2 linked regions of the Cricetulus griseus genome follow. The protein of the gene in region 2 interacts with the protein of the main gene of each other region in a biochemical or structural test. Links are inferred from orthologs where the notes say so. Each region holds a gene or a part of one and is shown on either strand. Other genes may lie near its edges. The genes, in order: Mcmbp and Mcm4.

Region 1 (3,822 bases), on a different chromosome or scaffold from region 2:
ACATGTATCACACATTTTACTCATTTAAGCAAGAAATTGTTTTTCAGTTTTTGTTTTTGAAACAATATCTTATGTGTCCCAGGCTGGCCTCAAACTCACTATGTGCTGAGGATGACCTTGAATTTCTGATCCATTTCCTGGGTGTTGGGGATTGAACCCGGTGCTTCATGTGTGATAGGAAAACATTCTATTATCTCAGCTATATTTTCTACCCTCAAATTAAGTTTTCTGCCTTTCTTGTTGTTTGTCTGGCACACAAACTCTGAGTTTGTGGCAGTGTCATGCCAAGATTACTGACTTGTCAATTTATGCTACTATACCCTGAGGATGGAACCTTACAAAGTAATGTTTGGACTTCTTAAGGAAGCATTGATAAAGTCACTCTACTAACATGCCATCACATTGTCTCATTCTAGAAGACACAGCAAAGCCTGAAGCCCTTGTAAGATCAAGGGAATCTGTCTCTAAGTGAGTCCCCACGACTGAGTCACTGTCAGAAGCCCCTGCAGCTCCTAGCTAGAGCTGGGTTTCTATCCCATCAGCTCACTAAACTGGAGCACTCATTCAACTAGGACAACTCTTCAGAATTGTACTAATACTTGTAAGACAGCTGTATTAATTAGAGCTAGCCATCAACTCCTGGGAGATCTGAGTAAATAAAAAGTAAAAAGCTCCTCATGATGGAGCTCATAGGGGATGTCCTTCTGTATGCTGTGAATATGTTTCTCTTATTGGTTGACGAATAAAGCTGTTTCAGCCAATGGACAGGCAGGATTTAGCTAGTCAGGAAATCCAAACAGAGATAGAGAAAGGTAGGAGGTGGAGTCAGGGAGATACTATGTAGCCACCTAGGAAGCAAAAGACCCAGGTCGGCAAGCCAAGACTATGTGGAGATACATAGATTAAAAGAAATGGATTAATAATTAAGAGAATACTGCCCAGTAAGAAGCCTGAGCCATTTGCCAAACAGTTTATAATTAATGTAAGATTCTGTGTGTTTATTTGGGACTAAAACTGCTGTGGGGTCGGGTGGGCAGAAACTTCTGTCCATGTTGAGTGAAGGTTCTGGGTCCATAAAGCAGAGAGCTAGACCCAGAAAAGGTAAACACAGAGGCCTCACCTTCCTACTGACCTGCCTGCTTTAATCCCACCTTGAATTCTTATTTTCTTCCCAACAACTGACAATTAAGCTCTGTGTTTCAACAGAAAACACATGAAAAACACAGGAGACACTATAAGCTATCTGGTTTCTTTAGCTATGCTAACAGTCTCTTTCACTGTTAAAATAAAAATAAACTTTCACAGCCCCAGCCAAGACACCACATGCTGAACAGGTGTCAAAATGAACTTCAATTGACTTTTTGTAACTACATGACACCCAATACTCTGTGCATTCCCTGTTACTAATGTGGAAGAGTACTTTCATTACGTCTTTCTAGCAATGCAAAGTTTGTTGTAAAACCTACATGTAGAGTAAAGCGTGGTAGTAACACACCTGCAGACCCATCACCTGGCTAGTGGAAGCAGAGGGATATGAGCTGCAGGCCAGGCCAGTCAGGCTACACACAAAATGGTATGTTTTTAAGTTGGGGGTATTGCTCAACTTAGTAAAGGTCATGCTTCACTTTCATAAGGTCTATGCTTCTTTAATCTCTGACAACACCCCCCCCCAAAAAAAAACAACCTTCCCCTAAAAAATCAGGGTGAGATTTAATCGTATTTAATTGAGGCAGTGACAAGCTAGTTTAGTGGGCAAAGGCACTTTCTGTCTAGCCTAATTACCTGAGTTTGAGCCCTCAGACCCATACGTGAATGTCCTTTGATCTTCATGGTCTGTGCCCTCTGCCCCACAAAACAACAAAAAACCCACAAATATTTAATTACATCTAATTGAGAAGTATTAAGTCTAAGTTAATCTTTCACTTTTGTCTAAAGAAACAATCATACACTGTGCTTTTAGTCACAAATACTGAGGAAGAATCTTGGTATTTACAATATTGCTAGAAATCTTTAAAAGACAAATAAGAAAATAATGTCAGAAAAACCCTTTTAAAGACAAATAAAAAATATTCTGCCTGATTTTTAAGAACTCATTCACACAAGACAAGTATGTTGAGGACCAACCAAAGAAAAATGAATTCTCTTTTTAGATGGAAATAAATCATGTAAAAATGTTTTTGAACAGCCGGGCGTAGGTGTTTGAAGGCCTTTAATCCCAGCACTCAGGTGGCAGAAGCAGGCAGATCTCTGTGAGTTTGAGGCCAGCCTGGTCTACAAGAGCTAGTTCCAGGACAGCCTCCAAAGCCACAGAGAAACCCTGTCTCGAAAAACACACGAAAAACCAAAACAACAAAAAAATACCATAAAATGTACATACCCCACATTCTGCTACATCTCTGTATTTTCCAAAATGAAGAACCTATTACCAAAACAAGAGACAAGGATTATATAAGTATAATTAATATTATAGGTTATAACAGCTCAAAAAGAAAGCAATACATACTCGTGCTTTTGTGGTCTGGTTAACTGTTTCATAAACTCCCATGTAAAACTCAGGGTCAAACATATCCTGAATCATGCAACGAAACTTGACAAAGCTGTTAGGTTTCAAATAATGAAGGGGAACTTCATTCAATGATGGTACCTTCAAAGAAAACAAGCAAGTCAGCAAAGTTGTTGTCTGTAAATGTTAAGTGCAAACACATTCAAAATCTAGTCCTATCTGGAAGCCGACTTCTTCCAAGTTCCTGTGCCTTCTAAAGCACACACAGCTTTTATTCCAGCCCGCCTGTTTTCTCTATGTTCTGTTTGTTTTCTCTCTTTTTAAGACACAGTCTCACTTTGTAGCTCAGAATGGTCTGGAATTCACTAATAGTCAAGGCTGGCCCCAACACGATCCTCCTGGGTCAGCCTCCTAAGGCCCCAGACTGTAGGTATCACCTCCTACAAAGGATTCCTGAACCCTTTCAATAAACAGAAAGGCATGCACTTTGATGAGTCCTCTGAACATTAACCCATGCCAATTCTTTTTTTTTAATTTATTTTTTATTTAAATTAGTAATAAGCTTGCTTCACATGTCAATCCCAGCTCCCTCTCCCTCCCCTCACCCCTCCACCCCACCAACCCCAAACCCCCACCCCATCCCCACATGCCAATTCTTTTAGGAGGGAACAAAACATAGGTGATAACTACTCTTAGAAACCAGTTTACCAGGCAGGAAAAGTCATTTACTGCCACCTAGAGGTACAACTCTGAAGCATCAGACCAAAGCCTTTTAATGCATATGTACAGTAGTAGTTTGTACTCATTCTCTACTTCTAATCCTATGGGGTTTCTATTCCACTGACAAACTATAGCCAGTAACTCTCCCTCTCTCCCTGCAAACAGCAGTAAGCTTACCCATTTAGGAGCATTGTTTTCCTTCAGCTTTTCCTTGAAGTATTCAATAACTTTTTTCTCCCAGTCAGGATTAACTCCATTTTGGGCTGAAAGAGAAATATGGTCATTGAAGCATAACATGGACCAACAGATTATGTTTAAGTCAGTAACATGTAAGCATAATAGTTAATACAAGAGCAACTGCGACATTTCACAGGCATTCCAGGAGCTTCCCTGCTGGGTGCTGGGCACCACAAACCCAGGCTGCTGGCCCATAGCTCTCCAGCATTAACAACTGAGTCAACACCTGTGGAATAGTATGAGGCTCACTTAGACCAGCCCAAGCTACAGGAGGTAAAACACTCAGCTTGAAATACTTTTATGTATAGTAATACACCCTGAAATGGAAAGCTGTGAATTTTTTTTTAAAAAATCATGCTTAT
Region 2 (3,822 bases):
CCAACATACCTATATATAGGATTTAAATGTGTTTAAACCACTAATCAACTATACTGTATACATGCCCACAGAGGGCTGCCTCGTCACCAACTGACCAATCCTCAGTCCTGCCTGGTAAGAGAAAGTCAAAGAAGTTAAGAATTTTCTGAGAAATGTTACTATAATTCAGAAGACTAACTATATTTGGGTACCAGTACATTCAACTGTTCTGAGAATAACTGTTTCACAAGGAGTGTACTTCAGTGATAGAGCACGTCCCTAACACATGAGAGGCCTTTCATTAAATCCCTAGCACTACCAGAAACAAAACAAATTTAGTAAAATAATTAAACACATAATCTTTGCCAAGAGCCCTGACCAACCAAGTCTGAATCATTGTTTAATGTCAATGGAGAGAGTGTTAGCAGTTACTGACCCTATTTTCTTTGCAATGTCCCGCTGACAATTATGAGTAAGCCAAGAGCAGTAGTCATCATACAGAAATGTTTTAGTACCTTGACAACAATGTATGTGGTAGTTGGATATTTTCAATGGTTGTTTTCTTAGGATTCCACTGAGACTCAATAGGATTTGCTGCTGCCAGGACAGATGTGCGGGCATTAAGCTGACAGATGATTCCAGCCTATCAGAGGAAGCAGTGAAGTTAGAAGCCTTTTCAAGACTCCCACAAGGAAGAAAACCATCTTCATCTGGCCTCTGGCTAATCCTCATTTGCTCTGCTGTTTCTGATTTCCAAGAACCTCTGATTTTAGTGCACACAGATGCTTGGTAACCTTGGAGGCCGGAAAAGGGCACTAGATCCCTTGAAACTTTACTGTTGTGAGCTACATGTGGGTGCTGGGAGGAACCAAATCCAGGTTTTCTGGTCAGGCAGCCACTGCTCTTAACCCTGGGCCATCTCTCCAAAACCCTGTAGCCACACATCTTTCATATCAGAAAGCAAACGGTTTAACACTGGTAGTAACTTTAACACAAACTTGAGCTTATAAGCACTACATATGAGTGAATAAAAGCTTATTAAGAGGTTTCCATCTAGAAGTGTTGAGAAATACTGATCACATTCTCAAGAGCAGATATCATCTCAGAGTCTAGTCACAGTACACAATCACCACTCACCTTTGCAATGGACAGAGTCTGTTGTTCCATGACTTCATGCAGTACAGATCTTGTACTTTCATTCATTTTGTCAAACTCATCAATGCAACATATGCCATTGTCGCTCAAGACAAGGGCACCTGTCTGTAGGACTAGCTGCCTGGTCTCAGGGTCTTTCATCACGTAGGCTGTGAGGCCAACTGCACTGGAGCCTTTTCCAGATGTGTATTGGCCCCTGGGGACCAGGTTGTATACATACTGAAGCAGCTGGGACTTGCTGGTACCAGGGTCACCACACAGAAGGATGTTGATCTCAGCACGGAATTTGCCCCTTCCTGTGTGACTGAAATCCTTCCTTGTTCCACCAAAGAGCTGAAGCAAGATTCCCTAAAAAAATGTATAAACACATCCAAACAGTCATTTTGTAGAATAGATTTAGCTTATGTTTTAGAGGTACTTTTCTATTTTGTAAGCTGAAGGCATGATCAAAATCATTGGAGAGTGCTTTGGTCACTCTAAATTATTCCTAACCGATTTAAACCTAAGTAGACATCACTCTAGGAGTTGACCAGCATTCCTCTGTTCTGAACCCACACAATCTCTTAGGTTTAGGGACATGAATGTGAAGAGATGAGTCACCACAACAAAACAATAACACTCAACTAACAACTGAGGCAGGGGTCAGTACTTGCTCTGTTATAGAGCAAACAGTTCTTATTTTGAGCAAATGGACTTTTAGAATTGTTTAACACCAGATTAAAAACACCATTGTTACCTTCTTTATATCTTCATGTTCGTAAATGCTGGGAGCCAAGGCTGAAGCAAGTCGCTCATAAATGTCTGGTTTCCTGGAAAGTTCCTTAAGCAATTTTACACGGTTCTCTGAAAAAAGTTTCTGTTCTGCTTCTTCATCAAGGCCATGTAGGCGTTTTGCATCGGTTTTCCGATAATGGATGACATCAATGTGGGTTTTATAGACAGACTTCACATTGCTCACTCTTGGATTGACTCGAATAGGTACTGCTCGATATATGCCTAAGAACATATACAGGCGACATAACTTTACCTTTCTATTTCTCCCTCCGCAGACTCAGTGGTCAGCACAGGCAATGTATAGCACCTAGGGGCCCCATCTCACCTAAGCATCATTACCTGTTAGTCTCCCAGCTAAGGACTACATTAAGGAAGTCAAGAGCCGGGCAGTGGTGGCTCACGCCTTTAATCCCAGCACTAGGGAGGCAGAGGCAGGAGGATCTCTTTGAGTTTGAGGCCAGCCTGGTCTACAGAGTGAGTGCCAGGATAGGCTCCAAAGCTACACAGAGAAACCCCATCCATGTCTCAAAAAAACAAAACAACAACAACAAAACAAACAAACCAAAACAAAAACAAAAGGAAAGTCAAGAAACTCTGGATAGTGGTGGCACATACTTTTAATCCCAGCACTCAGGAGGCAGAGGCAGGTGGATCTCTGAGTTAGAGGCCAGCCTGGTCTACAAAGCTAGGGAAATCCTTTATTGTTCAAACTAGTGTGAACTTCACACTAATTTTGTTTCTGTCTGCTTAAAAAAATAAATAAAAAGTTTTAATTCATTATTGGTATGTGAGATGCCTGTCTGCATGTGCTTGAGTGTCAGGACAGCATGTGGAGGTTGGCTTTTGGGAGTTGGTTCTTTCCTCTTCCATCCTGTGACACCCAGGGAAGGAACTCAGGCCATCAGAGTTGCTGGCAAGCACCACTAATCCAGGCCTCTATCTCTGAAGACTAAATCTGATCTCCCTCTCATCCTCACAGTACAGACCATGGTCCTTTAACAGGACAATGCAATTCTCATTTAAAACATAAAAGAAAACCAGCTTACAGAGCTAGTGAGGTACTCAGCAGGTAAAGGCACTTGCCACAAGCCTGATGACCTGAGTTCAATCTTCAGGTCACATGTGAAAGAAAAGAGAACTGGTTCCCACAAGCTGTCCTCTGATACAAGATTAAAAAACAAGACAACAAAACCAGCATTTACAATAACATTAAAAAAAAAAAAATGCAAACCTATTAAGGCAAGTGAGCGTGTGTGTGTGTGTGTGTGTGTGTGTGTGTGTGTGTGTGTGTGTGTGTGTGTGTGTGTGTGTGTGTGTGAAAACTGCATGTCTCTTGTATGCTGGGAAAGAAATCCTGAAATCCTGACTCACTGAATAGCTGGGACAGTGAGCCCCAGACTCAGAGCTAGGGAGACTTGGTTTCAATTCCCAATGAAGAACAGTGCTGTTCTTGACAAAGTGCTCACATTCCTCCAAACTGTAGAAAGTCTGCCACCCCCACATGACATTGAAGATAAGGCACCTTTTGCAAGAAGCAGCATTCAGAATCTACAAACCTGAATCAATGCAGCAATGAACTGCAACAACTAACAAGTCAGCAATAGCTTTCCCATATGGACTGCCCTGCTCTACTCCATGAGTAATGTTAGCTGTCCATGTAGGAAATAAGTAGAAAAGCATTTGTGAATCCCATGTTTGTCTGTCCCCAAGCTACTGGCAAACTGAATCCAATCAACACCACACCCTGAGGCTGCTCTCAAGGCATCAACATTATCTATCTGAGACACATGCAAAGTTCTGAGAGTTCTGAAATCTGCACCTGAGAACTTAACGTCCAAACAATAGTAAACCATAGCACCAACTGCCTTCTTGTTACAAACCTAGATTCTTACCTGTGACATTCACTCTATCCCC

The links.
Region 1: the proteins of Mcm4 (region 2) and Mcmbp form a complex in vitro, tested with the Homo sapiens proteins (2 studies listed by BioGRID). The link is inferred for Cricetulus griseus from reciprocal best matches to the Homo sapiens genes MCM4 and MCMBP.

The regions. Positions count from the first base shown.
Region 1 is NC_048596.1:72,026,382-72,030,203, reverse strand, and holds part of Mcmbp (mini-chromosome maintenance complex-binding protein), read right to left. Parts: intron 3,487-3,822; coding exon 3,401-3,486; intron 2,645-3,400; coding exon 2,504-2,644; intron 2,420-2,503; coding exon 2,378-2,419; intron 1-2,377. UniProt on the Homo sapiens protein: Associated component of the MCM complex that acts as a regulator of DNA replication.
Region 2 is NC_048597.1:73,866,113-73,869,934, reverse strand, and holds part of Mcm4 (DNA replication licensing factor MCM4), read right to left. Parts: coding exon 3,801-3,822; intron 2,131-3,800; coding exon 1,871-2,130; intron 1,483-1,870; coding exon 1,117-1,482; intron 623-1,116; coding exon 495-622; intron 1-494. UniProt on the Homo sapiens protein: Acts as a component of the MCM2-7 complex (MCM complex) which is the replicative helicase essential for 'once per cell cycle' DNA replication initiation and elongation in eukaryotic cells.